Canis lupus familiaris: one gene and its partners. The protein of the gene in region 7 binds, or shares a complex with, the protein of the main gene of each other region. Links are inferred from orthologs where the notes say so. Each region holds a gene or a part of one and is shown on either strand. Other genes may lie near its edges.

The links.
Region 1: the proteins of GNAI1 (region 7) and GRM2 are in contact, whole or in part, in a cryo-EM structure (PDB 8JD5), measured with the Homo sapiens proteins. The link is inferred for Canis lupus familiaris from reciprocal best matches to the Homo sapiens genes GNAI1 and GRM2. Residues at the interface, in NP_002060.4 of Homo sapiens: Glu28, Ala31, Arg32, Glu33, Val34, Asp193, Leu194, Thr219, Asp337, Asp341, Ile343, Ile344, Lys345, Asn346, Asn347, Leu348, Asp350, Cys351, Gly352, Leu353, Phe354; in NP_000830.2 of Homo sapiens: Lys599, Ala600, Ser601, Gly602, Arg603, Arg656, Ile657, Ile660, Phe661, Ala664, Arg665, Glu666, Gly667, Ala668, Gln669, Arg670, Pro671, Ile674, Pro676, Phe756, Val826, His828, Arg829, Ala830, Pro831, Thr832.
Region 2: the proteins of GNAI1 (region 7) and CHRM4 are in contact, whole or in part, in a cryo-EM structure (PDB 7TRK), measured with the Homo sapiens proteins. The link is inferred for Canis lupus familiaris from reciprocal best matches to the Homo sapiens genes GNAI1 and CHRM4. Residues at the interface, in NP_002060.4 of Homo sapiens: Arg32, Leu194, Glu318, Tyr320, Phe336, Asp337, Ala338, Thr340, Asp341, Ile343, Ile344, Lys345, Asn347, Leu348, Lys349, Asp350, Cys351, Gly352, Leu353, Phe354; in NP_000732.2 of Homo sapiens: Asn67, Arg130, Cys133, Val134, Pro137, Leu138, Pro141, Ala142, Ile218, Ala221, Ser222, Ser224, Val226, Arg394, Lys397, Val398, Thr401, Ile402, Cys456, Asn457.
Region 3: the proteins of GNAI1 (region 7) and SMO are in contact, whole or in part, in a cryo-EM structure (PDB 6XBM), measured with the Homo sapiens proteins. The link is inferred for Canis lupus familiaris from reciprocal best matches to the Homo sapiens genes GNAI1 and SMO. Residues at the interface, in NP_002060.4 of Homo sapiens: Glu28, Arg32, Glu33, Lys192, Leu194, Gln333, Phe336, Asp337, Thr340, Asp341, Ile343, Ile344, Asn347, Leu348, Lys349, Asp350, Cys351, Gly352, Leu353, Phe354; in NP_005622.1 of Homo sapiens: Arg261, Pro263, Ala264, Trp339, Ser342, Phe343, Ala345, Leu346, Gly347, Thr348, Thr349, Tyr350, Ser354, His433, Pro434, Gly435, Ser438, Lys440, Ala441, Lys444, Ile445, Glu447, Thr448, Arg451, Trp535.
Region 4: the proteins of GNAI1 (region 7) and LTB4R are in contact, whole or in part, in a cryo-EM structure (PDB 7VKT), measured with the Homo sapiens proteins. The link is inferred for Canis lupus familiaris from reciprocal best matches to the Homo sapiens genes GNAI1 and LTB4R. Residues at the interface, in NP_002060.4 of Homo sapiens: Glu28, Ala31, Arg32, Leu194, Glu318, Tyr320, Thr340, Asp341, Ile343, Ile344, Lys345, Asn347, Leu348, Asp350, Cys351, Gly352, Leu353, Phe354; in NP_001137391.1 of Homo sapiens: Thr53, Asp114, Arg115, Ala118, Val119, Pro122, Phe123, Ser125, Gln126, Lys127, Arg129, Thr130, Leu208, Arg211, Arg212, Phe213, Arg215, Arg217, Arg218, Thr219, Gly289, Gly290, Gly291.
Region 5: the proteins of GNAI1 (region 7) and LPAR1 are in contact, whole or in part, in a cryo-EM structure (PDB 7YU7), measured with the Homo sapiens proteins. The link is inferred for Canis lupus familiaris from reciprocal best matches to the Homo sapiens genes GNAI1 and LPAR1. Residues at the interface, in NP_002060.4 of Homo sapiens: Ala31, Arg32, Leu194, Gly217, Val218, Thr219, Tyr320, Gln333, Phe334, Phe336, Asp337, Ala338, Thr340, Asp341, Val342, Ile343, Ile344, Lys345, Asn346, Asn347, Leu348, Asp350, Cys351, Gly352, Leu353, Phe354; in NP_001338326.1 of Homo sapiens: Ile84, Tyr85, Arg146, Thr149, Val150, Arg152, Met153, Gln154, Leu155, His156, Tyr225, Tyr231, Val232, Arg235, Thr236, Arg238, Met239, Thr252, Ser255, Leu256, Thr259, Arg314, Asp315.
Region 6: the proteins of GNAI1 (region 7) and FFAR2 are in contact, whole or in part, in a cryo-EM structure (PDB 9NS9), measured with the Homo sapiens proteins. The link is inferred for Canis lupus familiaris from reciprocal best matches to the Homo sapiens genes GNAI1 and FFAR2. Residues at the interface, in NP_002060.4 of Homo sapiens: Glu28, Ala31, Arg32, Glu33, Val34, Asp193, Leu194, Phe336, Thr340, Asp341, Ile343, Ile344, Lys345, Asn347, Leu348, Asp350, Cys351, Gly352, Leu353, Phe354; in NP_001357016.1 of Homo sapiens: Gln40, Ala42, Val44, His45, Glu106, Arg107, Gly110, Val111, Pro114, Val115, Tyr117, Lys118, Leu119, Ser120, Arg121, Arg122, Phe202, Met206, Gln209, Pro210, Leu211, Val212, Arg216, Arg219, Ala220, Leu223, Ala224, Phe273, Ser276, Ser277.

Annotation. Positions count from the first base shown.
Region 1 is NC_049241.1:38,330,019-38,334,075, forward strand, and holds the start of GRM2 (metabotropic glutamate receptor 2), read right to left. Parts: upstream 2,801-4,057; 5' UTR 2,671-2,800; intron 965-2,670; 5' UTR 829-964; coding exon 379-828; intron 1-378. UniProt on the Homo sapiens protein: Dimeric G protein-coupled receptor which is activated by the excitatory neurotransmitter L-glutamate. Plays critical roles in modulating synaptic transmission and neuronal excitability.
Region 2 is NC_049239.1:43,502,237-43,506,218, forward strand, and holds the start of CHRM4 (muscarinic acetylcholine receptor M4), read left to right. Parts: upstream 1-1,182; 5' UTR 1,183-1,308; intron 1,309-3,982. UniProt on the Homo sapiens protein: The muscarinic acetylcholine receptor mediates various cellular responses, including inhibition of adenylate cyclase, breakdown of phosphoinositides and modulation of potassium channels through the action of G proteins.
Region 3 is NC_049235.1:7,376,321-7,379,636, reverse strand, and holds the end of SMO (smoothened homolog), read left to right. Parts: intron 1-322; coding exon 323-471; intron 472-950; coding exon 951-1,085; intron 1,086-1,307; coding exon 1,308-1,741; 3' UTR 1,742-2,816; downstream 2,817-3,316. UniProt on the Homo sapiens protein: G protein-coupled receptor which associates with the patched protein (PTCH) to transduce hedgehog protein signaling. Binding of sonic hedgehog (SHH) to its receptor patched prevents inhibition of smoothened (SMO) by patched.
Region 4 is NC_049229.1:4,408,788-4,412,934, forward strand, and holds LTB4R (leukotriene B4 receptor 1), read left to right. Parts: upstream 1-1,475; 5' UTR 1,476-1,629; exon of another isoform or gene 1,630-1,633; intron 1,634-2,248; 5' UTR 2,249-2,304; coding exon 2,305-3,303; 3' UTR 3,304-3,647; downstream 3,648-4,147. UniProt on the Homo sapiens protein: Receptor for extracellular ATP > UTP and ADP. The activity of this receptor is mediated by G proteins which activate a phosphatidylinositol-calcium second messenger system.
Region 5 is NC_049232.1:66,180,563-66,184,794, reverse strand, and holds the start of LPAR1 (lysophosphatidic acid receptor 1), read left to right. Parts: upstream 1-1,432; 5' UTR 1,433-1,580; intron 1,581-4,232.
Region 6 is NC_049222.1:118,041,426-118,045,368, reverse strand, and holds the start of FFAR2 (free fatty acid receptor 2), read left to right. Parts: upstream 1-1,143; 5' UTR 1,144-1,297; intron 1,298-1,304; exon of another isoform or gene 1,305-1,793; intron 1,794-2,287; 5' UTR 2,288-2,294; coding exon 2,295-3,287; 3' UTR 3,288-3,943. UniProt on the Homo sapiens protein: G protein-coupled receptor that is activated by a major product of dietary fiber digestion, the short chain fatty acids (SCFAs), and that plays a role in the regulation of whole-body energy homeostasis and in intestinal immunity.
Region 7 is NC_049239.1:20,150,928-20,155,036, forward strand, and holds the start of GNAI1 (guanine nucleotide-binding protein G(i) subunit alpha-1), read left to right. Parts: upstream 1-1,309; 5' UTR 1,310-1,372; coding exon 1,373-1,490; intron 1,491-4,109. UniProt on the Homo sapiens protein: Guanine nucleotide-binding proteins (G proteins) function as transducers downstream of G protein-coupled receptors (GPCRs) in numerous signaling cascades.

The DNA of each region.
Region 1 (4,057 bases), on a different chromosome or scaffold from region 7:
TCTATAAGGAGGAAACAGAGGCATAGAAGAGAGAAATAGTGCCCAGAGTCACATAGTACTGGGAGAGCCAGGGTTCAAACCTGGAGTTCTGACTCAAGAGGCCTGGCTACTAAGCTTCTCATGGCTGTTTAACCTCAGGGGTGTGTGTGTGTGTGTGTTTGTGTGATGGAAGCGGGATCTTTTCCTTACACAATCTCTAAAAATCAACCCCCACTATATGACAGAGGCATTTTCTTAGTATCACACAAAAAGCTACTTATAGGAAGCTCCTAGTCCCTTTTCCAATGTGTGGCATCACGGAGCCCCTGTTCAGAGGGAATTCTGGGCTCCCACCTCCAGACTCCCTACCCAGCCCCCAGTTGGATAGCCCCTACATACCTGGATGGAGACATCGCTGTAGGAGCCGCCAATGACACCAGTGATGGCAGTGGGAGCATCACCGTGGGTGGCATACGAGCCATCGGGGCAGATGTGGCGTGAGCCATCGGCACCACGGCTAAGCGAGGCACGCACGAAGTCGAGTGCCTGCTCCAGGGCATGTGTGTCCTTGGAGCAGCTGTCGAGAATATGCGCGCCCAGGCGCACGCCTGGCAGCAGGTGTGGGTCACGGTTGATGCGGTCCAGTGCAAAAAGCATGGCCTCCAGGCGCTGGATGCCACGATGCTCATTGACAGGCCCACACTCCTCTGCTGGGCCACCCTTCTGGTGTACTGGAAACAGCCCACCCAGGACCAGGTCCCCCTCCAGGGTCAGCACCTTCTTGGCAGGGCCCTCAGCCACAGCACCCCATAGCAGCAGCAGTGCCAGGAGCCCAAGCAGTGATCCCATAGTCCCAAAGGGGATGGATGGGTCCAGCAGACCTGGGCCTCCGGGGGATGAGGATAGAAGCAGCAAAGGCAAAGAAAGGAGGAAGCAGGAACCAGGAAAGGACAGGCAGGAAGAGAATTTAGAAGGGACCCAGCTCCTGCAGAGAAAGAGACAGACAGACAAACAGGGAGAAGTGGAACCCAAGAGTGGCCAACCCTTCTAACTCTGCCTTCCCCAATTCCCTTCCCTAGGGACTTTTCTAGGGAGTCAGGGAGAGACAATATCACAAACTAGGCTGAAAAGCTCCTGGGACACCCTTTGGCCTGTTTCTCAACCTTGCCCTGATCTGGGTCTGTAGATGGGCTCCATGCCCATTCCATACTCAGCAGAGAAGGAGGGAGGCAGAGAGTAGAGGCCCAGACAAGTCAGAAGACCTGAGCCAACACTAATCCTGTTGTGAATCAAAGAGTGTCCAAGACCTTGTACAAAGCTTCTAGGACCCCAAAGTCAATACTGCAGCAGTGGCCAGGTTAGAGTATAAACTTGGGGCTCTAGTCCCTATGCTGAGACTTGTGTTTCCAGAGATGGGCCATTGTGGCTGAAACCCACCAGGAAAGAGGGAAGGAAAAAGGTTTCCAAAGGGTAGTTTCCAACTCCTACAGAGACTGGAGCCCAGGTGAGCACCCAAGGGTCCTAGCCCCTAGTTCTTAAAAATCCATCCCCAGAGCCCCCTGACTGAGGAAGTAATAGAATCTCTAGGCCCTGGGAGTTTGACAGCAAGGTGGAGAGGCTGGCCCCAGGGAGGGTCACTGAAGTGGCCTTAAGTGGTCTTAAGTCAACAGGGAAAGTAGATGTGAGCATATGTGTGTCCAGAGTCAGGGGCAATTCATCTGGTCAGAATCTCAAAACACTGCTCAAGATGAGACTTTTGGACACCTTAGCTCTGCATTAGAATGCTGTTCGAGACTTTATGCCTCTGTTTTTTCTTCAGCTCAGATCCAAGTAGAGACAGTCATCATCTCTCATCTCCCTATCGTCATCCTCTCCCCATCCTGTCCACCTTGTCCCTGGCCCTCAGAGACCCCTCCTTCCCTCTTCCACTCTGCAGTTCATTGTTTGTACCCCAGCTACCCTCCTGGATGCCCACCCCACACAGGCTCTCACAATCACGCAGGCTTGGGAAGGCTGGGAGAGGGAAACTGAGGCTGAAGAAGGCCAGCCACTAGTTCAAGGACCCCAGGTCCTGACCACAGAAACTGGTATTCTTCACTTTGTCCCTCAGCTCCCCAGGGTTAATCTCTCCCTGGTGCCAGGGCAGGGAGACTGGGATCCTGTGGGTACCCAGAAAGAAGCAGTTCAACCAGGCAACCAGGAGAGAGAGAGGCAAGCATGAAGACCAGGACAGATAGGGAAGGGACCCAGATGGGGGCTGAGGCCCAAACTAGTCAAGACCACAAGCCTCTCACAGGGGCAGCCAGGACCAAAATCCAGACAGGGACAATACCCTGGAGGGAGACAGAACCCCAGAGGTAGACAGCCAGGGGGCCTGTGCCACGAAATCCGGGCAGGGAGTGATTGAGCCCGAGAGGCTAACACAAAGACAGAGGCACAGACAGACAGACCAGAGGATAGAAGGAGAGGAGGAATGAAGGAGCGTGATGCAGGGCGTGCGTTCTCTGGGGAAGAAAGGCGGGATGCCTGGGGCTGTCTTCCCGCTTCCTGGAGCTCCTGGCAAGCACTGTCTGGGCGCCCTGGCCCGTCCCGGCCCGGGCGCCCCAGAACTCGAGGGCCCACGGGTCTCCAGGACATGGGGTCAGGATCGATAAGGTTGGCGGTGGCCGCGGCACCACGGGCTTACCCTACCTGGCGCGCCCGACTCCGGCGCGGAGAGAAACGGAGAGGAGCCGGGGGCGCAGGGTTCCAGCTCTCGCTCAGTGGCTTGCTCCCTCGCTCAGCAGCTCTGCGCTCTCCGCCCGCCAGCTCGCCCGGCCGCTTTCAATCGCGGCCCGCCCCGCCCCTGGCCCCGGCCCGCCCCCAGCCCCTCCTCCGTTCCTCCCCACTCCGGATCTCCCGCTCCCAACCCGGCCTCCGCCTCCCTCCAGACTCCAGCACAGCTCCTTGCCCGGCGCCTCCGGCTTCTGTTCTTCGCGGGGCTTCTGTCCCGGAGCTGTCCACCGCGTGGTGCTGAATCCTCGGGCGCTCCTGCTCTGCGCAGGAGCAGGTGTCTATCAGGCCCCCTCCACCCCGTGGTCACACTGCAGCCCACAGAGCAGCGGGTACGGGACACAGGGACGGGAAGGTCACTGAGTCCAAAGAGGTATACACAGTGTCATGGGTCCCATCTTTGAGAGCGGAGGGGCTAGCCTTAGGGTTGCAAAGTGCCATTGGGAGATATGTAGAAGGACACCTGGGAGATAGGTAGAGAGCTTAGCCTGCTGCAACAAGTCTGTCCCTGTCCTCACATCCATTCTCTCCAACCACAGACTGCAGCTCAGTCCACAAGCCAGGCTTGGGGTAGGGGCATATGCCTTTGGCCCGATGTGAGAGCTGGGGCTTGAGTCACTAGGAGGAAGACATGGGGGAGGGGTCAGAGGAGGATGGGGTTTCCTCTTCCTGCAGATGACCTTTAAAGCTGCTACCCACCACCACCCCCATACCTAGCCCTGACCTCCTGCCCCACCAACCTCCACTAATCCCCACACTCATGTACAAAGGGTATTTATGGCAAAAAGATATCAACCTGGGGTGCGTGGGGGGGTGCTGCAGGGCCAGGGACTAGGGTCAACCCTAAGGAACATGCTGGGGCTGGCAGGGGCATCTTGGGGAGGAAGGGAATAGGGAAGAGGCTCCTGAAACTGGCTGCTGTGTAGGAGGGAATGGGAGCTGGAGCCCAATCAGAGGGAGGACAGCTCTGAGAAGATGCTCTTGACTCTTCTTCCCTCCTGCAGCAGAATGGAGGACGCCCCTGGGTAGAAGGTGGTGGAAAAACTGCAGCAACCAATTGTGCTGAGGGTTTGGGGAGGGGGCCTGCACTCAAGTTTAGCCTCAGAGCCTGCATGCACACCAGGTGCTAAGGCAAAGAACATCCCTACATATGCTCCCCTGGTGCTGCCCTTCCTTCCACAGGTGTCAGTAGAGGCAAAGCTAGCTTAGACACATGCTAATGAGCACATGCCAAGCCCAGGTCCCTCTGGCACATACATCTACATGTGCGTGTGGCAGTTAGGGGGCAGGAGTGTCACCAAGGAAG
Region 2 (3,982 bases), about 23 Mb from region 7:
CTTGCGCTCAAAGAGTTTGGGGTGACAGGCCGCCTCAGGCCCCTGGCGGACCCCTGGAAGGGCCGTCTCGGATGGAGGCCGAATCGCGGGTGCCTGGTGGTGCGGAGCGAGCGGGCAAGGTCAGGGACGAGGCGGAGCTCTCCGAGGTGCTGAAGCCACCGCCTCGGCCCCGCGGGCGCCCCCGCCGCGGACTCCCGGGCCCTCCCGCTCCGCACAGGCAAGGCCCCAAGTCCCCAGGCCCCGACCCGTGCGGTTCCCGGACACCTCAAGAGACCGGCTGCTCGCCCTGAGGTCCCGTTCCCGGCTCCGCCCCGGGTGACCTTGGGCACTCGGCTTCCCCTCAAGGCATCGGCGAACTCGCCCTCTAGGCCGCGGCTGGATGGGCGGCGCGTCCCACCGCGGCTGGAGGGAGGACGCGCACCCTCTCCCCGCCTGGAGGGCGGGAGCGGGGAGCGGGGAGCCGGGCGGCGGGGGTGGGGGGCCGGGCCAGGGTTGTGTGCGATGGGCGGGCTCCTCTCTCGCCGGCGGACTGTTGCCTGCCTCCTCTCTCCAGCTCCTTCCCCGGCCCCGACGGCGCCCCTCTTCTCCCGCAGCCCGGCGGCCGGACGCTGGCGGCCCTGGGGCTGCAAACTGCCAGCGCTCGGCTCCCTGCCCCGACGGGACCGCAGCGGCCGAGCCCATCCCACCCGCCCGTGACCTCTCGTTGGGGTCAAGCGTTCGCGCCTCCGAGGTCCCCGTGTGAGCGGGACCCTGCGGAGAGTGCGGCCCGGGCGAGGCGCGACGCCACCTCCAGGTCCTGGTGCTCGGTCAGAGCGGAGGCGGAGAGCGCAGCCAGACGGGACTGCCAGCTCCCTCCCCAGCCCGCGAGGGGGCGCCGCGTCCCCATGACAACGCGGACACCCCACCCCACCCCCAGCCCAGCCTCCCGGGAGGGCAGCGCCCCCCGCTAAGCCGCACTGCCCACCGTGGGCGGTGCCCCCGCCGTGGCCGAGCGCGGAGCTGCCGGCCGGCTCCCGGGGGGGCGCCGTAGTCGGGGTCCCCGACGCCCCGGGTGGTGCCCCCCGCGCGTCGCAGTTGGGTGGCCGGCCCGGGGCGGGCGGCGCGGCCCCACCAGGATTGGCTGCCTCCCCGTGACATCACGCGGCTCGGGGAAAAGTGCGAGCGTGAGCGCGAGTCGAAGCCACAGCGCCGGGAGCTGCGGGCGGAGCAGGGGCCGCCCCTCGGCACCCGGTCCCCGCCCCCGGCCCGCGGGCCGCCCGCTGGTCCCGCCGTCTGTCAGGTGCGAGGGGACCGGGGCGGAGGTGTCTGGTAAGTGACTCCGCGGCGGCGCGGGGGCGGCGGGACTCGGTTGCGGGAGAAGGACCCGGGGCTCCCGGACCCTCCGAGGCTCCCCGGAGGCGGGTCCCCCCGGGACGGGGCCCCAGGCTCCTCTGGGCGCGAGCGCGGTGCTGGGAGCTGCACAGGGCCCGGGGGTGAGGGGCCCCGCGGGAGGGAAGACCCGGAGTCTCGGAAGCGGCTCCAGGTGCGCCCCTGGGAAGGAATGGACGTTCGGGAGGTCGGGGGAGGGGTGCTGGCCCACAGCCCTCAGGGCGCCCCGGCAGCCGTCGGGGGCGGGACCCCGCGTTCCAGCCTTCCCACCGGCAGCTCAGGAGGGCGCCAGGCGCTGGAGCCTCAGGAGCCTTTTTCCCGCCCGTCTCCCCGCCCCCCGCCCCCGGCGCCGCCGGCCCACCCCGGTACCTGAAGTCCTCCATCCGCGACCTTGAACCCCGACGGAAAGCCCCTACCGGCCTGGCGCCCCTCCCCCACTCCAGGACCACCCCCTGCTGTTGCCCAGGCTGCGAGCCCGGGAGAGCCGGAGCCCAGCCCCGAGCCCAGTGGCGGAAGTGTCAGGTGCAGTGTCCATGCCAGATCCCCCGAGCCCCTTCTCCCTCCTGTGAACTCCGGAGTCTCTTCTCCCCGCCCCAGGGACGGATCCGGGGCCACAGCCCTCCCGGAGCCCTGGAGTGAATGCCTAAGAACCCACACCCCAACCCCCTCCCCACGGCGTCCAGAGCACGCGCTCCTTCTCGTCCGGAAAAGGGGGGGCTCCAGAACCCGGGAAAGCACGGTGCCCACGCCCAGAGGCTGCAGGAACTGCGTGCTAGGGGGTTGGGGGGAGGGCGGGGCACCGGGGAGCCAGGGCCCCATCCACCGGGCCGGGGGCCTGGAGGAGCCTGCAGATGAGCCCGAAATAACCCCCAACCCGGCCCTCGAGGTCCGCCCAGGTCCAGGGCTTGAGAAACCGGGAGCCCACCCTAGCCGCTGGGTCCAGACGGTGCCTCTCTGGCGGGGTGCAGGGTTAGAAGTGTGGGAGGGCAAGAATCTCACACTCAACACTCAACTGACCTAAGCCCTGGCTGGGCCTCCGCGGTTTGGGGGTGCTGCGGTACAATCCCGCCCCACCCCCACCCCCACCCGCACCCCCGGCAGACTGGGCACCCTTTGGCCAGAACGCTCCGCGGGCACACCGAGCTGGGCCCTGGGCCCGGTGTCCTGTAAGGCCAGCGGGGCGACTCAAGCAGCGGCCCTTCGACAGAAGTCAGGCTCAGGCTGGGTCGCCACATCGCCGCGTTGGGGCGCAGACACCAACTGGGCGCTGGCTAATACGATGCCCCAAGGTCAGGGGGCCCCTTGCAGCTCGGGTTGTAGTCTGGCCACGACCCTTCCCCTCCCACGAGCGGGGCACAATCCAGACACTGGCTCTAGACTCGATCTTCTCTGCGAAAGTCTGAGCCGAGCCTCCCGGCAGGGCCGTCCACACCCGGGCAGGTCGCCGATCGTGGGCCTTGCATTGGCTCCTGCGCCCCAACTCACAGGTGCGCGCTTAACCGGACTCGTGCGCATCCCCCCGGCCCGCACACGCATGCACAAGCACGTGTCCACATGGCACGGGCCTGCTCACGCGCACACGGGCACACCGGTATCCAGGCGTGGCCGAGCGCGCACACACGCACATGCAGACAGCTACTCGCTTGTACTCGCGCTCCCCGGTGATCACACACAAACAGAACTCGCACTCGCCTTCCCGCCCACACGTCCCTCCGCGGGGCCGAGTGGAAGCCGCGCGCCCCTAACTTTGCCACCGGCGAACCCGCGCGGAGCCTAGGGCAGCCCCCGGGCAGGGGCTGGCAAGAAGGGGGGGGGGATCCACGTCCTTCCCCGGGGCGGCCCTGCCCTGGAGCCTCTGCGCTTTCGGTCGCGTTGGAGTTGGGGGCGGTGGCGGAGAGCTGCTGTCCGGAGCTGGCACCCGGGGCTCGACATCGCCATCTAGCGGTGTGCACAGCCCTGGGCAGCGGCTGCTTGCCTCCCCAGATCTCGGGCGGGCCTGGATGGCAGAGAAACGCCCCAGAGAGGGTTGCTGTCAGAATGTCTGCGGGAAACCCAAGGGGTCCAGAAGGATGGCGGGGGGGGGGGGGGGTAGGCTGGGAAACACCAGGCCTCGCCCTTTCTGCGGCTGGCAGCTTCCCCAAGCGGATCCAGAGCAGGACTAAACCACCTGCCGCCTCCTTGGAGACAAGATGCCCCAAGATGGAGATGAGAGGTCTCTTCTCTTCTGAGAAAGCTAAGTGGGGGAGCCGGCGGGGGTGGGGGGACCCTTAGTCCTTCCGTTTGGAGCAGTGGACGGCAGAGGCAGGAAATCAGCCTGAGACAGGTTGAGGTTGAGAAGGGGACTCCTGGATTCTAATCCCCCCCCCCCCCCCCCCGCCCAGCCCCGCTTACACACTGGATGGCTTTGGGCAAGTTAATTAACATTATCCTCATCTGTCAGAAGATCCGTAATCAGTGAGATGGGGATGCTAACAGTACCTGCCTTCTCAGGCTCCTGTAAGGATTAACCCAGATAATCTACATAAAAAGCTCAGAGGGATTCCCGACTCATAGTTAACACTCAATGAACAAGGGCTATTATGTTTTTCATATTTGGCCCCTCCAGTCCCGTTTC
Region 3 (3,316 bases), on a different chromosome or scaffold from region 7:
AGGCTAGTTTTCTAAGAGTCTGCGCTGAGATGCCTAAAGCTGCCTCCTCTGTGGCTCACCACTGCCCCCTGGTGACACCTCCTGCCCTTGGGAGGACCAATCAAGTGCTGAGCCAGCTGCTGCCAGCGTCTCTTAGAAGAGTAGACTGATTTGAGTGATTTGAGTACTGAGCATACAGGAGCCCCAAATTCTAGGCCCACTTCTTTGCAGAGGTCTCTACTCCTCAAAGTCGTGGAGGGAATGGCGTCGTCACTGGTCTTTCACAAGATTGGATGGAAGTGGCTGCTCCTTCACTCCCCTCCCCCACCTCTTCTGCTCTCAGGTTGACTGGGCAGAGTGATGATGAGCCCAAACGCATCAAGAAGAGCAAAATGATCGCCAAGGCCTTCTCCAAGCGGCGTGAGCTGCTGCAGAACCCAGGCCAGGAACTGTCCTTTAGCATGCACACTGTCTCCCACGATGGGCCTGTGGGTGAGCTTCAGGCCCCTTTCCTCCACGGGAGCCACTCAGCACCCACAGTACCTGGGCCCCATCTCACTAGGCTGGTGTGGACACGTGGACTGTCTGGAAGGCTGGGAGGAATAACCCCCACCCTCGCCCCCGGCCTCTCCTCACACACTCAACTCTCTCCAGACCCCTTCCATCCCTGGCTCCTCTGCATTGTTTCTGTCCCTGGGTCTGCTTGCTGATACTTTGGTCTCAAAAGGACTCATCTCCCTCTCCCTCCTTCTGTCCTCTCCAGTTCCAGGAACTGGCTTTCAGACCTCTAGCAAGGCCCTACTCTTCAGACCAGGACTGGGTAGCTCACTATGATTACCCTGGGTGGGCCTTCTGGGCTCAGGGGACGGTGAGGGAGCTGCTGGGGAAGGTAGATGTGCTAAGTGAGGGAGGAGCCGTCATCCAAGAATTGGGCAGTCATGATTCCTTAGCCTTTCTTTTCATCCCCACAGCGGGTTTGGCCTTTGACCTCAACGAGCCCTCTGCTGATGTGTCTTCTGCCTGGGCCCAACATGTCACCAAGATGGTGGCTCGGAGAGGAGCCATACTGCCTCAGGATGTGTCTGTCACCCCTGTGGCAACTCCAGGTACAAGGGGGTCAGGCTTCTGTAGAAAGGTGGGGGGCATGGAGGCTGGGGGTTCTTGGGACAGGAGGAGGAAGGAAAGGCCTTGGGGGGTCTAGAGTGTGGGGCTGAAGCACTAGAGACCTACAGTTGTGTCCCAGAGCTCAAAAGTAGGGGTGCGAGGAGAGAACGGGTGGCGTGGACAGAGCCAGCATCCCAAACTCAAGTTCTCTCTCCTGCCATCAGTGCCCCCAGAGGAAAAAGCCAACCTGTGGCTGGTTGAGGCAGAGATCTCCCCAGAACTGGAGAAGCGTCTGGGCCGGAAGAAGAAGCGGAGGAAGAGGAAGAAGGAGGTGTGCCCACTGGCACCACCCCCTGAACTTCACCACCCTGCCCCTGCCCCTGCAGCCAGCGCTGTTCCTCGACTGCCTCAGCTGCCGCGGCAGAAGTGCTTGGTTGCCGCAGGTGCCTGGGGAGCTGGGGAATCCTGCCGACAGAGAGCTTGGACCCTGGTCTCCAACCCTTTCTGCCCAGAGCCCAGTCCCCTGCAGGATCCATTTCTGCCCAGCGCCCCAGTTCCCACGGCCTGGACTCAGGGCTGCCGGCAGGGGCTGGGGCCCATTCACTCCCGCACCAACCTGATGGAGGCAGAGCTCATGGATGCAGATTCAGACTTCTGAGCCTGGACAACGGGACCTGGGATAGGAAAGAGGAGCAAATACCATTCTGAGGTTCTTCATCCTCCCTGAGAGTGCTTCCCCTGTCTTCCGGAGAACCTGAGTGTGCAGTGCCCTCCCAGGAGAGCTCTCTCTGTCTGGCTCATGGCAGCGGGACTGTGGGAAAGGACCTGACATCTCCACGGGTAGGCCTCATCCAGGGAAGGGCCCTGGAGCTCGGGGTCCTTGTTTCTGCCCCGCCAGCTGGAGTCTGGCTGGCAGTATCCACCTGCAGCAGAGTCACGGGCTATGCAGAGCTTGAGCGGGGGCAGTGATGGTGGAGGCAAGGGTGACAGTACCCAGAGTGAGCTGTGGTAGCCAATGAGGCAGCCAGGCCCAGGCCTGGCAGATAGCACTGGCTGCCCTTTCCTGGCACTTTCAGACCAAATGTGTTTATTGTGTCATTAGCCCTTTGTCTAGATGGGTACAGGGCTCCCTTCTCTCTCTTCCCAGTGGTTGTGGAGCTGGAAGTGCCAGTTCCCATAGGGGCTCTAACCTCTCTCCACAGGTGTCCAGTTGGCCCGACCCCAGGCCAGTAACCCCTCCTGTGTGCTCCTGTGCCCTCTTTCCCCTTTCCCACTCCAGGCCAACCTCTTCCTGTTTCCTGTTTGTTGAGTAGAACCCAAAACAGAGGCATGTTCCATCCCACCCCTACCCCTCCCCTTGGTGCTGGGCTCCATCTCCAGGTGAGAGATTGGTTCAGCTATGGAGCCTGGCCTGGTGTAGAAGCAGCAAGTGATAGGGAGCGTTTGGGCCCCTGAGAGACACGTGTTCTCTCTTCCTCTCATCCTTCCTGTGGGGGAATGGATCCTCTGACTTGAGGGGCTGCCCTGGGAGGCTGCTGGAGCTTCAGCCAGGCAGGAAAGCTTCCTTCAACTTCTGCAACTGGTGGGTGAGGAGATCCCCACCTCTCATAACCCCTAACTATCTCCCCCAGGCCCCAATTTCAAGAACCAGGCAGCAGGAAGCCTTAGGAGCTAGCTGGGTTCCAGATTGGGGAGAAGAAATACAAACAGTAAATAAAAGGTTTTTGTATAAACTCTCGGTGTGCTTCTTTTCCACAGGCCCTTGGGAGGGGCACCTGCCTGGCTCAGGCAGTAGAGCATGCGACCCTTCATTGGGGGGCCAAGAGTTTAAGTCCCATGTTGGGCATAGAGATTACTTAAAAAAATAAAGTAATATCCATAGGCCCTGGCCTTGACCTGTTTGCTTGGTCCTTATCTCATTCGTCTCCCACTTCCTCCTCAGGCTATTCTGAAAGGCCAACAGCTTGGTGCTATTGAGGTCAGGACTGACAGATCTTAGGCTGACGTCAGCTTAGTGCACTGGCTGTCCTTCCCAGCCAGTAGGCTCCATATGGACAAAAATTCTTCTGTGGCCACAGCTGCCTCTCTGTGCACTGACTATAAGCTGACTGAGCAAGAACATGCAGCTTGCCCCTGGAGTGACCATCGGAAGTGTCACTACACCCTGCTAGGATAGATGAGCATGGCTCCTGTGGCAATCCTTGAGCCCCACCTCCGGTGCTCTTCCTCCTAA
Region 4 (4,147 bases), on a different chromosome or scaffold from region 7:
CCAAACTGCGGCGGTCTAGAGTTCTGGATCTAGTACCTAGATTAGAGTATCTAGTCTGAAGATGGAGGAAGAAAGGCCATTGAGAGACATGGGGATGGGGAGTAGTTTGTTAGAGGAGGCAAAGACAACACAGCTTTCATCAGAAGGAGCCTCTGATTGACCCTGAAGCAGCAAGCCAGAACTTTCATCCTCAGACACCGATGGCAGGGGCTTTTTCCTGTTCTCATGTGCCGGGGCAGAGGCTCCCTAACTTCCTCTCTTCCGTAGCCCCTGTCTCACACAACTTCTGTGGTCAGAGAGCCCTTCCTCAACTCTGCCTTCTTGCTGCAGTTTCGGCACATTTCTTTGCATCACATCCTCTGCCTCTGGGTCAACTCTGTGGTGGCCTTTCTCGAAGCAGAGAAAGTGGGCATAAGGGTAAGGGACCTCAATGACCATCCTTCTATGCCACATCTCTCTTCACAAGTGAGAGTTGGCAGGGAAGCAGGATGGCTCACAGGCAGACCAAAGGAAAGACTTGTCAGATCTTAGCTTCTGCAGGAGAGGTCAAAGGGGGAAACTGCCCTCCCTCCAGGCAAGGAGAAGAGTGGCCTTTTGGGGGGCTGTTTGCCTTTGCACATTCCTGGTTTCCCCTCCTGGCAGGGCAGATGTGGGGCATCACTGCCCCCACTTCCTCTCTCTATGCTCAGCCTCTACTTTCTCTGTCCAGTGGGACTGGACAGCCAACTACAGGAAGGTAGGAAAGAGGTCGTGCTGACCTCTTTGCTCAGTGCTCAGATATTAAATTCAAATCCATGTGGCAGTGGCCACATGGGCAAGCACAGGGCAAGTGGCCAGGGAAGGAGGAAGAAATTGACATTCTGTACCATACTAAGGAGATCCTTTGGACTTTGGCTTCTGCCAAAGGGAAGGGAGAGTTGAGTGACTTAGAATTGAAGCAACCCTTTTAAATGAGGGAATAGGTGGGAGTGCTGGAAGAGAGCCCTCCCTCTCCAAAGTCACTCATGGTTTGAACCCAAGCCAAAGACAGGGTGCTGTCCTCTTTAAGTCCTGATGTTACCTAAACCCAAACCCATAACTAAGCCACACGTCTAACCTACACTTCCTGTTAATCTAAAAATCTACAATATTTATACAACATATAAAGATACCCAACCTTCTGGCCTCCCAATCTGAGTCCATTTCCTGTCTCTGGCTTCCTTCCCTCCTTCTCCTGTATGACACAGTTTATTACTCTTTCCAATTCTCCAGTCTAGACCTGCATTTAAGGCCACACCCGAGCCTATTCACTCCCCTCACCCTCTCTTTCCTCTCACTACACCCTCCTAGGCTCTTCTCATCTGGTCCCACCCCGAAGGAGTCTTCCTCCCTGCTAGGCTCTTCTGGAACACAAAGACTATTCCCCCCCCCCCCAAGTGAAGGGAGGGCTAGGAGTTTCAGCCCCACCCTCAGGAAGATGTATCTTCCCCCTCCTCGGCTTCTCGGTACTTCCTCTCTGGCAGACTTAGCGGACAGCACCCAGACCTGGGGCTGGGACCCTGGAACTGGGGCAGATCTGGGAATAGGCTACGCCACTCTGCCCTGACCTTGGGATTGGCACCAGTTTCCAACCACTACCCAGCAAAGCCTGTAAGTAAGTATCCTGGGAGTTGGGGAGGTAGTGGTAGAGCAGGATACAATGGTGAGAGAAGGTGCAGAGGAATTTCCAAAGAAAGCCTGACCAGTGGGAAAAGGACTGGGGAGGATTTCTTCTTGTCTCCTATCCACAAACTGCTCGCCATCCCTATTATTCCTGGTGGGCTCTGGGCATCTCTGGAGAAAGTGGGTATATGATTGAAGAAGTCAATGGGACTGAGCAGGCTAAGGGCCTGGCAAGTGATAGAGAAGCTAGCCTTTTGAGGGGTGCAGCCCTGGTAAGAAAGGCCCCTCTCCCCCATTTTGTTCTGGGTCTCAGAAGGGAAGGAGGCAGAAAGGTTATGGAAATACTACTGCTGCTACTGCTCTCTATTTTGCAGTGGGGTCTGTGTGTAGGAAGAAGCCCCATGGCCCAGTTAGAAAATTAGTCTTTCTGCTCAGCCAGATCCCCCGAGGATGGGTCTGTTGGCAGCGATGAAGGCAGGAGGTTGCAGAGGGGCAACTGACACTGCTGATCTTGGAGACAGGCTAGAGTACTCAAGCTGGGTGTGTCCAGGGTCTCAGGAAACCTTGGTCCCCAACCCTCATGCTCGTGTTCGCCCTCACTCTCCAGGTCCTTGCAGTGGCCACGGACACCACATCGTGAGCAGCACCTCCTCACTAGGTGTCATGTTCGTCATTCCGTTGACTATCATCCTACTGTCAGTGGCGCTGGCTGTGGGGCTTCCCGGCAACAGCTTTGTGGTGTGGAGCATCCTGGTAAAGATGCGGAAGCGCTCTGTCACTGCCTTGTTGGTGCTGAACCTGGCTGTGGCCGACTTGGCTGTATTGCTCACTGCCCCCTTCTTCCTGCACTCTGTGGGCCGGGGCACCTGGGTGTTTGGACTGGCTGGCTGCCGTCTGTTTCACTATGTCTGCGGCGTCAGCATGTACGCCAGCGTCCTGCTGATTGCCGCCATGAGTCTGGACCGCTCGTTGGCGGTGGCCCTCCCTTTTGTGTCCCAGAAGTTTCGTACCAAGTCCGTTGTCTGGTGGGTGCTGGCAAGCATCTGGGTGATGTCCTTTCTGCTGGCCATCCCCGTCATCATGTACCGCACGGTGCTGGCACCGACCAACCAGAGCCTGGTGTGCTTCACCAAGTACTCCAGCGACCGACTCAGGGCTTTCCATCTGCTCTTCGAGGCCCTCACCGGCTTCCTGCTGCCCTTCCTGGTGGTGGTGGCCAGCTACTGGGACATCAGGCGCAGGCTGCAGGCCCGCCGCTTCCGCCGCAGCCGCCGCACCGGCCGCCTGGTGGCGCTCATCATCCTGGCCTTCGCCGCCTTCTGGCTGCCCTACCACGTGGTGAACCTGGCCGAGGCGGGCCGGGCGCTGGCGGGCCAGGGCTCGGGGCCAGCGGGCGTGTGGCTGCGCCTGGCCCGCTCCGTGTTCATCGCGCTGGCCTTCCTGAGCAGCAGCGTGAACCCCGTGCTGTACGCGTGCGCGGGCGGCGGCCTGCTGCGCTCCGCGGGCGTGGGCTTCGTCGCCAAGCTGTTGGAGGGCACCGGCTCCGAGGCGTCCAGCACCCGCCGCGGGGGCACCCTGGCCCAGACGGTGAGGGGCCCCGCCGCCCCTCCCGAGCCTGGCACCTCCGAGACCCTGGCAGACTCCACCAACCCTCTCCAATGAGCGAACTGAACTAGGCCTGGGAGGTGCTGCTGGTGCTGCTGCTGCTGCTGGTGGGGGAAGGACAACGGCTCTTCTGGCTCTTCTCGTGGCAGAGCGCCCCCCACGTTGGCCTGACCTGGTTCTGTACCCTGAGGAGGAGGGGGACGCCAGCGGGGGGAGGGGCGGGGCAGGTGAGGGCGAGTGAGGGCCCGGAGCAGCTCTGCAATTAAAACGAGTCTGAGGGTACCTGGGTGGCTCCGGTCGGTGGTCGGGTGGTTGAGCGGCTGCCTTTGGCTCAGGGCTTAGCTCGTGATCCCGGTTGTCCTGGGACGGAGCCCACACCAGGCCCCCCGCAGGGAGCCTGCTTCTCCCTCTGCCTGTGTCTCTCATGAGTAAATAAATAAAACCTTTATTAAAAAATAATAATAATAATAACGGGGATCCCTGGGTGGCTCAACGATTTGGCGTCTGCCTTCGGCTCAGGGCGTGATCCTGGAGTCCCTGGATTGAGTCCCTGCATGGAGCCTGCTTCTCCCTCTGCCTGGGTCTCTGCCTCTGTCTCTCTCTCTCAGGAAAAAATAAATAAAATGTTTTTTAAAAAATAAAATAAAACATAAAACAGAAGTCTCAAGCTGGGTCAATCCTGTGTTGGGGGTGCCTGCCTGTGTGATGGGCAAGGGGGTGGGGTTGCCACTGGGTGCTCTTATTGGGGTCCTTCTCAATGGCTGAGAGGCACATCCTTTGGCCTCCCATGATTTTTGGTTTTGGAAGGGACACAAAGATACAGAAACCAGGCCCTCCTCCCCTCCCCTATTCTGAGGCAGGTGCTCTGCAGATCATACTTAGAACAACACAGGTCTACAGA
Region 5 (4,232 bases), on a different chromosome or scaffold from region 7:
TCTCCCTTCCGAGCAGCCCAGGATCGCCGCGTGCCCCCCGCCCCCAACCCCGGGGCGGTCCCCCCCGCCCGGGTCGCGGGTCCCCCTGCCGCACCGCTCCCCGGGCCTCCCGGGTGCCCCCGGCAAGGGCTCGCCCAGCTTCCCCTCCTGCCCGGCAGCTGCCTGGGATGCGTGGCGGCTTTGGCAGCGCAGCGAGCGGCAGAGAAGTGCCCCGAGTCCGGAAATCCTGGGAAGCCGGGGGTGGGAAGCGGGAGGTGGGGGAGAGGTGGCGCGGCCGGAAAGCCCCCGACCGACCGGCGGCCGTGCAGGGCCCGCGCGAACCTCGGCGGCGGCCACCTTCCCGGGGTCCCGCGGCGCCGCGCCCGCCCACACCTCCAGGTGTGCATTCCCCGCCCTTGATTACCCTCCGGACGCCGAGAGTTGGCACTTGCAGAGTTGCCCTGGGAAAGCGGAAGAGCGGCTGCAGCCCTGCGCCTGGGGAGCTGGGGGCGCGCGGCACGCCGGCTTCGGGCTGCAGACGCGGACGCGCGAGCACCTCCAGCTCGGGCCGTGCGGGGGGAAGCCGGGGTCCGCGCCGAGCTTGGCCGCTGACTGCGGGAGAGGCCCTCCTGCAGGGGGTGCGGGCCCGCGATGCTTCCCCGAGCTCTCCGAGTGGGAAGAGCAGAGCGACAGAAGGAAAAGGCACCGTCTGGGGGAGCCCACCCAGCGCGGCGAGCCGGCGGGCGCTAGGTGAGCGCGGGGGGGGCGGGGGGCTGAGCATCCGAGCCCGCGGGTCTCCCGCCGCGGGGGGCGCGCGCGGGCTGCGGGGGGCTCCGGGGGGCGTCGCACCCCGCGACGGAACGAGCCAGGGGGAGGGAGCAGCGGTGCGGGCCGAGAAGGAGGGGGGAGGACGGAGGCTGGCGGCCGCGCCGGCTCCGGGCCACCCCGCCGCCCCGGCCAGCGCGCCAAAGCGCGGACTGGCGGCCCGAGCGGCGGCCGGCGCTGCCCGGGCTGCGTCTCCCGCGTCGGCGGCGGAGCGCGGCTCCGGCTTCCCGGGGGCGGGGGTGGGGGCGCAGGGGGCGGCCGTCGAGGGGGCGGGCGGAGGGCCGGGCGCCGGCCGCGGGGAGAGACCGCGCGGCGGGAGGCCAGCCCGGGGGGCGGGGGGGCAGCGGCGGGCGCAGGTAAAGGGGCGGGCGCGGGGCGGGGCGGGCGCGGGGCGCGGGGGGCGGGGGACGGCGCCCCCTGGGCGCGGGGCCAGGGGCCGCCGCGTCGCCTGCGCAGCCGCTCGGCGCGCTCGGCTCGCGCCGTCCCGGGGCAGACAGGCTTTGTGGCTGCGCGTGCGAGTGTGCGAGCGGGTGCAAGTGTGCGCGCGCGCGCGCTCGCCGGTGTCGGCTGTGGGTGGGCGTGCGCGCCGCGAGCCGGCCTGCAGGAGGCGAGGCTCTCCCGGCCTCCGCCACCAGCCAGTCGCCCGCGCCCCGGGAGGGAAGTTGCCGCAGCCGCCCGGGCCGCCGGCCCTTCCGTCCCCCTCCCCGGCCAGGTCGGTGCGCCCCGGGGCCCGCGCTTTGTGCCGCGTCCGCGGCCCGGACCCGCCCAAGTGACACGTAGGTGGCCTCGGGTTACCTGGGTCTGGGTGGGAGCGCGAGAAGGGCTTGCAGGGGTGGGGGGCTCGAGGTGACCCCGAAGCCGGGTCCGGGGCACGGGAGCGCCGGGGTGCACCCCGCGTCTCCCCGACGACTCCTCGCGCTCCCGGGCTGCGGACTTTAAACTTGGTGTCGGTGCAGCCGCCCAGCAAACACGCTTAGCAAGTAACTGGGACACTGAAGGCAAGGGAGGGACCTGGCTTGGACTTGGTGGTTTTGAAACCGACAGGCTCGTTTGGTTTGTGTCGGACTAGTTTGTTGTGAATGGATTTAAATTTTATTCTTTTTTTTTTTTTTTTTCTTTGCTGCCATTTGGGCCTTTGATGCGTAAGGGATGACGGCATCCAGGACTTGTTGCTGCCTTCACTTTGGGGCCTGAGATTCTTGCTCTGTGTCCCTGCTTCTCTTTCTTTTCTCGTTTGTTGAAATCTGTGGAGTTTTCATAAACGTGGGTCTTCAGCGAGCGCTCGCTTGTTAAAGTTGCACCGTTTCCCGCTGGGATGGGCGCGTTGTGTGCAAACCCGAATATGGGAAGCAGGTAACTGCAGTTATGGGGTAGAATCCTCTATTCCTTCAGGCTCTAACAGTCCGTGTCTTTCACCTATTTGCATAAGTGTGGTTTGTCCAGCGTGAGCACAACTGGGAGGCGAGTGGTCCGTGATGCAAAGCCTGCGATTCTGGTTAAAGGGGGACAGCGCTGGGAAAGCTGCTCGGTTCCCCTAGGGAGCGATCCCCTGGTCATACGGAAGCCTAAGCCCCGAGGAGGGAAAGGGGTGTAACTGGAGTTAGGGCTGTCTGGACCCGAGTGAACTGCTTTCGCGCCTACACACACACACACACACACACACACACACACACTCGCATCCACTTGTTTCTGCCCTTGGTTCTCCGAATCCGGTAGGAGTGAGCAAATTTGCCTCCAGTGCAAACTTGAGAGTGATGATTAGCATTTTAAGTGTGTTAAGGCTGGATTTTACCCGCCGTTTACTTTGAGGCTAAAGAAGCAAAGAAACAAGAGAAGGGGGGAGGCGCAGGCGGGAAGAGGGGTTGGCATCATCCCAGCCCACGCGCGCCGCGTCCCCTAGCGGTGCCACCTTAGCCCATCAGCTCAGCAGCTTGTCCTTCGTCTCGGGGCACTCATCTGGAAAATGGACGGATTTGATGATCTTGGCTGTTCTGTTCTTCCCAGCTCCCCCGAGTCATTAGAACCTGGCGTGGGGTTGTCCCGTGCTGGAGCAGTAGGGAGAGTCACCTGTGAGCGGGTTATCCCAGAAGGGAGGTGAGAGGGCAAGAGGGTCAGAGGTAGAAGAGAACTTGCAGCGGGAGACGCTTGGAGGGGGGAAGGCCTCCATCTGGGGGTTGATTTTCCTCTTTTTTCTTTCCTCCTCCACAGGGGCATCAATACAACCCCCACCCTTTCATCTTCCACTATTCCATCACAGTGAGTGAGCCTGCTGAGCCTTAAAATCCATGTGGAGTGAGGGGGATCCCTGTGGTGGGACCTGATGCATGGGTGTCTCTTGGGCTCCCCAGCTGCCCAGTGCTGTGGGCGCTCAGAGGAGCTCAGTATCCCTGTGAATGAGGAGGAAAAATACCGAGGTGGGAAGGGCAGCCCTTTCAACAACTGATGTTTGGAAACGTCTATTTTTGTTTGAAGCTAATATTTACCAAACAGAAATTTCTTTTTCTTTTTAATTATACCATAGATCTGTCAAGGCTATACTGAATCTGTCCTGTTTGACGGACTGGAAGATTCAAAGTAAAAATCTCACTCGCTGGATCTCTCACTCGCTCGGTCTTTTTGATGCATAATGACATTCAGTCTGAAGTTAGTGATTTTTTAGGGCCAAGAATCTTATTTCAAATGCTTAGTAAGGAAAGTTGCAATCTGGGCAGAGTACACTGTATCATTTTCACTGGGAAGCTCCAAGTGTTCAGCAAATAACAAGACTTAAAATGTAGTTTGAGGTCAAGATTTTATAAAGTATTTTTTTAAGATTTTATTTATCATGAGACACACACACACACACACACACACACACACACACACACACACAGGCAGAGACACAGGCAGAGGGAGAAGCAGGCTCCATGCAGGGAGCCCGATGTGGGACTCGATCCCAGAACTCCGGGATCATGCCCTGAGCCAAAGGCATATGCTTAACCACTGAGCCACTCAGTCATCCCGAGGTCAAGATTTTAATGCTCGTGCTTAATGTGTGGCATGTCTTCCTTTAGTGTTTTTTGGTGCCTGTAGGCATACATACTTGAGGAATGTGATTTATTTTAAAAAATGAAGTGTGATATAATAAAAGTGAGACATAAGCTCTTGGTTTAAAGTCTCAAAGTTTGCTCTGGCCTTGTTAACTCAGCATCATACTATTTGGTTTCTGGTTTTTACGTATCATGTTACCCCTTCCCCAAATCCCTATTGTGTTATTACTTAAAAAATCTCATGGAGAACTATTATGGATGTCTTACAAAGTTGAGAGAAAAGAAAATTTTAATTGAATAAGCAATTACTGAATTTCTCCTAGAGAGGCAGACACAAAGATGATAAAAATGAGGCTCTAGAAAGAGCTGCAGTGCGGAGGGAAAACATGCAGCTAGCGT
Region 6 (3,943 bases), on a different chromosome or scaffold from region 7:
GACAAATGCCAAGATCGAACTCCTTGCTTCTAGTGGAGGGTAGAGCTGAAGAGAAAGAAAAGCTACTATTTAGGATCCCTGGACCCTGGAGTTCTAGACTACAAAACCAAACTGACTAATGAAATGCCTGCCTGAATGAACAAACAACACGGGATGAGTAGAAGTCCCGGGGGGAAGAATTCTGGAAGCAGGGGTCAGGCCACTGATGGTAAACACAGACCCATTCCCTAGGTTGAGAGGAAACCGTGTTCCGACTCTGTTTCTTCAGATGTGTGTATTTGGACAGGAATTGAGGAGCTTCTAATGAGGGAGGAACAAGGGTGGCTCAGAGGTGAGACCCAGCCCACAGGGAGAGGGGATCTATGGGGGAAAGACACAGGAGCCTGAGCACAACTCCCCTATAAAGAGCCACACAGGTACGCGGGGCCTCCTGAATCCCTGATAGTCCCCCAAGTCAGACAGCATGTAGGTGCCCTCAGCCTCTGGCTGTTTTACCAAGTGGCTCGCTCTCACCAAAGCTCCAGCAGACTTCCACTCATGGGCACCCACCAAGTGCTCACCGCTGGCCCAGATGCTCCATACATGCTGTCTCATCCACACCTCACCCAAATCCTGGGATGTAAGTATTCCCATCCTCACTTAACCCAAAAAGGAAGCTAAAATTCAGAATATTCATCTGCCCCAAGGTTACAGTGAAGGGACCTGAGTCTGAGCCCACATCTGCATGACTCTAAATCCCATGCTATTTCCACCAGAACAAGACTCGGGCTGGGTGAAACCAAACTGTCCCAATCAAGAGGGCAAAAGAGACCTGTTGGGGGCAGAAGGCAGGAGACCCCATATAAAGAAAAAAATTGAAGAATCAAAGGAAACAGGAAACTTCTTTCCTGAAAATGAGAAGAATCACAAAAGAAATTGCCTAGAAAAGAGAAGATGAGATCATCTAACTTGAGAAATGGGAAAAATGCTTGGGAATGAAAAAATAATCCAGGACCTAGGGACGGAGAATCTGGTTTGGAAGTCGAGTGAGGATCTCTGGGGGGAGAAGGAAGATGCCGGCGGGCGCCCCATCATCCTTCAGGTTTGAGAGGAGACAGTGTTCAATTACTGACCTTCCTCTCTCTGGTCACATGACCTGTGCTAGTATAAAAGCTTTCTACCAGCAGGTTCCTTACAATTCTTTCCTGTGTGAAATGGGCAGTAGCAGTGGCTGAAGGCCCGTTCCTCTTCCCCAGAAGCTTTCCGACTTTCCTTCAGGACTAATCCCAAGAAGCCATCTCTCTGGACTGCAGACAAGGCAAGGCAGCTGGCTCTGTGCTTGTGCTCTGGGAAGTGATGCTGGGATCTGGACTGGAGGGGGAGGTGCCGGCGGGGCTGCCCGAAGTCTGTGAGAAACTGGATGTGAGGCTCATACCTGCAGCCAGTGTAGCTGGGATCCAGGAAAGAGATGGGGGACCTCAAGCCCGGAGAGAGGACGGAGGGGGTGGGCTGTGTTAGGGCAGCGGGGTCACAAGCCAAGTGGAAACTGAATGACCCCGTTTACAGTTCTTCTGTTTATACTCAAAACACCGGGCTCTGGAGCCAGTTGCTGCCTGTGGGTTTTCTTGAATCTGCTCTAAAGTCTTTTAGAGGACAAGCCCCAAAAGATAGCACAGGCTCACCCTTCCTCCCCAATGCCCCTCCCTACACTTCATTAGCTTCCTCTTTTCAGTAATAGTCCCAGAGTTGGGTATTGGTCAGGGGAGGAAAAGGTGGAGGAGAATCTGTGTTCTGCAAAAGGACAGGAGGACGAGGTAGGGAGATGGGTTGGGGGGCCAGGCCTCCGTTCCCTGGGCGTGTGGCGGGGTCCTGTGAGGAGCTGGCCCTGGGTCCCATGGCCTGGGCTTTCCCAGCCTCGAGCCCCTGAGCGCTCACAGCCCTCTCCTCGGGAGAGGCTCGCCCTTTCTCCCCACGGATCTCCGACCGGGTAAAGAACTCAAGGAAAGTTGGAAGCTGATAACGGCAACTTCCTGTATCTGTGGGGAGAGAAGGAGAAAGCCATGGGTTGGTCCCCCCCGGAGACACATGATGGCAAACGTAATAACTCCCGCTTACTATCCCGCCCCAGGCAAAGTCAATAATTGCTCTGGGCAGTTCTGGCAGGTGTGCGAGCAAGCGGCGGAGGCGGCACAGGGCTCTGGCCGGGGAGGGGACAGCAGCACGGGGGATGTCCACGTCCTGAAGCGGAGGGGGGTCCGCAGGCTGCCAGGGGCACCTCCTGACCCTGCCCTTTGTCAACCTCTTCCAGAGCCATCATGACAAACTGGCGCAGCCCCCTCATCCTCACGGCCTACATCATCATCTTCCTCACTGGCCTCCCCGCCAACCTCCTGGCCCTGCGGGCCTTCATAGGACGGGTCCGCCAGCCCCACCCGGCCCCCGTGCACATCCTGCTGCTCAGCCTGACGCTGGCGGACCTCCTGCTGCTGCTGCTGCTGCCCTTCAAGATGGTCGAGGCCGCGTACGACTTCCAATGGTACCTGCCCGAGTTACTCTGCGCCCTCACGGGGTTCGGCTTCTACAGCAGCATCTACTGCAGCACGTGGCTCCTGGCGGGCATCAGCATCGAGCGCTACCTGGGAGTGGCCTTCCCCGTGCAGTACAAGCTGTCCCGCAAGCCGGTGTACGGAGTGATTGCGGCCGTGATCGCCTGGGTCATGTCCTTCGGTCACTGTACCATCGTGATCATCGGCCAGTACTGGAACTCAACCCATAATGATGTCACAAGTGAGAATGGCATCACCTGCTATGAGAACTTCACCCAAGCTCAGCTGGATGTGGTGCTTCCTGTGAGGCTGGAGCTGTGCCTCTTCCTGTTCTTTGTCCCCATGGTGATCACCATCTTCTGCTACTGGCGCTTTGTGTGGATCATGCTCACCCAGCCCCACGTGGGGGCTCAGAGGCGGCGCAGAGCTGTAGGGCTGGCTGTCGTGACGCTCCTTAATTTCCTGGTGTGCTTCGGGCCTTACAATGTATCCCACTTGGTGGGCTTTTTCACGAAGAAGAGCCCCCTGTGGAGGGCTGAAGCCGTGGTATTCAGTTCCCTCAATGCCAGTCTGGACCCCCTGCTTTTCTATTTCTCTTCGGCAGCTGTGCGTAGAGCCTTTGGAAGGGGGCTGCAGATCCTGAGGCATCAGAGCGCCTCCCTGCTGGGGCGCAGAGGCAAAGAGACAACAGAGGGGACGAGCGGGGACAGGGGTGTGAGTCAAGCAGAGGGAGCTCCGAGTTCTGACTTTACCACAGAATAGGGGTGTCCAGGACCTTTGGAGGCACTCTGGGTGACACAGGCATTGAGCAGGCTGGGACAGGGGGAACGTGAGGTTCCTGTCCCAGAGTCAGAAATCCTCAGATGGATCCACTACGGGAGCTGTAGAAATCTCTCTCAGCAGCTTGGTATCCCTTCCTGACTGAAGTTTTCTTCCCAAAGGAGCACAGCTCCATGACAAAGGAAGAAATGGTTTGGCATAGAAGCACCCTCAGACCATGGTTTCAGGAGCAATGTAGCTAATACAAAATCAGTCCTTGTGACACAGTGGTAGCTGGGGACGATCAGGCTAAAGCCGAGTCCTAAAGCCATCTTGCTACAGGCTTTGAAACAACATCTAGACCCTGGGCCAGCTGTTGATACTGGAAAGAAGACCATGGGAAGAGATGGAAGGGAATACAAGGGAATACCAAATGAGGTCAAAGAAGACTCAGGAAGATTATGAGTCAAGGGAACTAAGAGGGAGGACCAGGGACTTTGAACTCTAACCATCTAGGTCTGCACTGTATCGCTCTGACCTGCTGCTTTGTAAGTATGCTCCAGTCATCTTCAAGTGTGTATTTTGTCTCCCCGTATTAAACCTGCCAGAGGTCTGGGTCTTGTCTCCTCCCTCCATGGCACCCCACACGGGCTAGGACA
Region 7 (4,109 bases):
CGGCTCACCCAGGTGCCAGAGGGTCACCAGGTGCCAGAAATCCGGAGCCAAAATCTGCGCAGGGGTGGGTTCGGGCGGGGGCAGGCCCGGCTGGGGAGGCGCTGGGGGTTCGAGGCTCCGGCCTTTCAAACTGCAGGCTGAACAGCCAAGTTACCAGAAAATCCACGCAGATGGTTGGTGCTTGGAAACAACTGTGGGAATGGACAGGAGAGGGGAGGGGGGGACGGGGAAGGGAGGGGGAGGTACCTTCTGCGGGTCCCTGGCCCCCCTCCTCCCCCGCTCCCTCCCCTGCTCCCCTCCCCCCTCCTCTGCTTCCTGGTTCCCCCCTGCGCGCCTCCCCTGCTCCCTGCTCTCCCTCCTTGCTTCCCACTCCCCCCTCCCCTGCTCTCCCCTCCCCTGCTCCCACTCCCTCCTCCCCCACCCTCCCCTGCTCCTAGCTCCCCCGCTCCCTCCCCTGCTCCCCACTCCCCCCTCCCCTGCTTCCCACTCTCCCCCTGCTCCCGCTCTCCTGCCCCCTACTCCCCGCTCCCTACTCCCCTGCTTCCTCCCCTCCCTCCCTGCTCTCCCCTCCCCTGCTCCCTGCTCCCCCTACTGCCTCCTCTTCCCCTGGTCCCCTGTTCCCCCCCACTTCGCCCTCCCCCGTGCTCCCCCTGCCCCTCCCTCTCCCCGCCACCCCCCTCCCCTGCTCCCCCCCCCCCCGCTGCCCCCACCCCCTGCTCCCCGCTCCCCCATCCCCACTCCTCCCTCACTCCTCGCTGCTCCCCCGCTCCTCCCTGTTCCCCCCCCCCCCGCTTCCCCTCCTCTCTGCTCCTTCTCCCCCCGCCCCCCTCAGCTGCCCCCGTCGCCCACACCCCCCAGGCCGGCAGCCCCTTACCCCGGCCCCGCGCGGCGGCGGCGCAGGCTCCCACGCCCGGCGGCCTTTTCCCGGCTCCCAACTTCGGCGCCGCCCGCGGCCGCCCGGGGGCAGGTCGGCTCCGGCCGGGGGGTTCGGGGTGGGGGGGGGGCGCGCGCCCGAGCGAGGGGCGCTGTCCGGGGCACGTGCGCGGGAGCGCGCCCGGGAGTGGTCGCGGGGGGCGGGGCGGGGCGGGGGCGCGGGGGGCGGGGGGCGGGGCGGGGCGGGGCGGGGCCGCGGCGGCGCGGACGCCGGGCTGGGGCTGGGCTCGGGCTGGGCTCGGGCTGGGCTGGGCTGGGCTGGGCTGGGCTCGGGCGCTGGCGGCGGCGGCGGGCGGCGGGGCTCGCGCGGGGCAGCGGGAGTTGGCGCGGCGCTGCGGGAGCGGGCGGCGGGCGGCGGGCGGCGGGGCGGGGCGGGGGCAGCTCGCTGGGGCGCCGGCCCGGGAGCCGGAGGAGCGGCGGCGGCGGCGGCGGCGGCACCATGGGCTGCACGCTGAGCGCCGAGGACAAGGCGGCGGTGGAGCGCAGCAAGATGATCGACCGCAACCTGCGGGAGGACGGCGAGAAGGCGGCGCGCGAGGTCAAGCTGCTGCTGCTCGGTGAGCGCCCCGGGACCTCGGGACCTCGGGATCCCGCGCGGACCCCGCCCGGACCCCGGCCCCGACCCCGGACCCGGCCCCGGCCCCGGCCCCGACCCCGACCTGCGCCGCGCGGGCCCGGGGCGCGTCCTGCGGGGCCCGAGCGCCCTCCCCGGGCCGGGCTGCTGCGGGTGCTCGGGGCTGGCGTCCCGGAGACGCGCGCTGCGGAGCTCTGCTCCAGCTTTCGGAAAGAGCCAAAAAACAAAAAAAGAGTAAGCCAGGGTTTTGACGGGAGGATGCATTAGGAAAATGCCCACAGCGTAGGATTTGTGGATCTGACTTGGGGTTTCTTTTGTTCCCTGCCCCCCCCCCCCCCCAGCTCACATGCACCCTATGGCTACTTAGGCAGGTGCAAGGTTTCTCAGAACCTTCATTTGCCCCAGCAGCGACTGCTTCTGCTTTACACCAGCCATAATAAAAGAAATATTACACAAACCTGTTTTCAGTAAGCTCCTGTCTCATTGGTTTAATGACTGCAGGAAAAAATGGTGGTTTTTTTTTTTTTTTTCTCCATTACTAGTAGGCTTAGAAGCAGCAAACTTGGCATGACTAAAAGTAATAATGATCTGAGTCATTTTGCTAGCAAGCTGTGAAATAACTTTGCATCTTAAAGACCTGCTTGGTTTTCTTCACCCTTGTCCCCAGTATAGATCTTTCTCAGTTAGCGCTGTTTACCTAAGTTTTTATGTTAACAAGAAATACCATATTTGGCGGAGGTCAGTGTATTTTCAGTGTACGGAGCATAGAAGAAACACACCTTGACAGGGAAACAGGTAGGTGGTCCGCTTGTGCTGGGAATGTGCCTGAGACATAAAGGAAACAAAAGGAAGATCCCAAAGTTCTTTCCCTGCAGTTTCTGCACTCCTGCTCTGATACGTCCTTTCCGTGGATTTCCCTGTGACCCCAGTTTTGAGCCAGCCATCCACCATGTTTAGAGCCATTGGAAAAGGAGTCCTCTGCTGTCGTTTGATGCTTTCATTAGATGTCTGTTGGAAAGGGATGGGCTGGGATAAAAGTCAGAGGAGTTGGTGTTTGCTTCTGTTTGGAAGAGGTCGGTGTTTCTCAAACGTTAGCTCTATGGGCGTCTTAGGCTGGGTGGTTCTTTGTTGGGCAGGCTGTCTTGTAGGTTGTGGGATGTGTAGCATCCGTGGTGTTCTCTGGCATCTGCCCACGGGATTCCAGTAGCAGCGCCCGCCCTCAACCTTTGATCCTTGAAAATGTCTCCAGATAGTCGGGAGAGTCCCCTGGGGGTAAAGATTAACCTCTGATGAGCAGCGCCTGCATGGACAGGAATAGCTCAATGGGTGAGGTGGAAGTAAAAGTTGCACCTCTACAACCAGCTATAGTGAGAGTGAGGAGGAGGGTGTAGAAGAGTCATGATTTTCAGAAGACATTATGAGATTTTTGTTTTTCTGTACCAGCAATGTTAGATTTCAGAATGATTTTTAAAATTTTTTTAGGTAACTGGATTCCATCAGCTATGTTTTCTCTAGTGTTTTGCTTTTCCCCTTGCATCTCCTCTCTCTGTAGAAATCCTTTGCACCCCTGTCTTGTTGGCCCAGCTCTCCTCCTTACTCCTTATTTTAGTCCTACTCTACCCTTTTGCCCAGGGTCCCAGCACTCTAGTTCCTATAAACAAAATGCTGGCTTATTTCGTAAATGTTATTCTTGGAATGTTTCAAAACATTTTTTTTTTCCCTAATTTGTCTTTAGCAGTGAAGTTTTGACCTTCGGTTCTTTTTTAGATGTTTAAAGTCAAATGTGTAAGTAGCTCGATGAAATCGTCCCATATAAAACACAACTGAATCAAATAGAAATAGAAAATGGTTTTCTAGGTGGTCTATAACCATTGTCACTTCCATTTATATCAGGTCATCTTCCTCTTAATTATTTTAGTTTTTTTCATTACATGAATTCCATTTAAGGCAAAAAGCATCCAAAGTATATTTAAGATAGTAAATAGTTCATTATATTGCATTTTTAAAAAAGATTTCATTTTTTTTTTTCATGAGAGACACAGAGAGGCAGGGGCAGAGGCAGAGGGAGAAGCAGGCTCCTCCCTGCAGGGAGCCCGATGTGGGACTCATCCCAGGACCCCGGGATCACGCCCTGAGCCAAAGGTCCTGAGCCCAGGACCCTGGGATCACGCTGTAACCGCTGATCCTCTCAGGCGTCCCTGCATTTTTTTTTTTTTTCTTGAGGCATATATGTATCGTCTTTTAGACATCTGGGTTGAGAGATTCAGGTATGAGATGCACATTATTAGTAAAAAAAAAAAAATGGTACTGTCTATTATAATTAATTTTTTTTAAATCATATATTTTACTATCCATGTTAGGAGCAGTGAATTAGGCCTTCAAAAAGAGGGACTTAGTTTAATCATTGACCTAAAGGAAATTAGGTCAGGGTTTGAGTGGTTCAAGTCTTTAGGTTTAGTTTTCAGGCATTGGTATGGGAATGATAATCCTAAATAGAAAAACTTATTTTTATAATGACCGTTTCTTTCCATTAGAGATGGCCAATTGCCTGAGGGGAATACATTTCTTATAGTCATACCTTTGAGGATGTTATGGTCTCTCA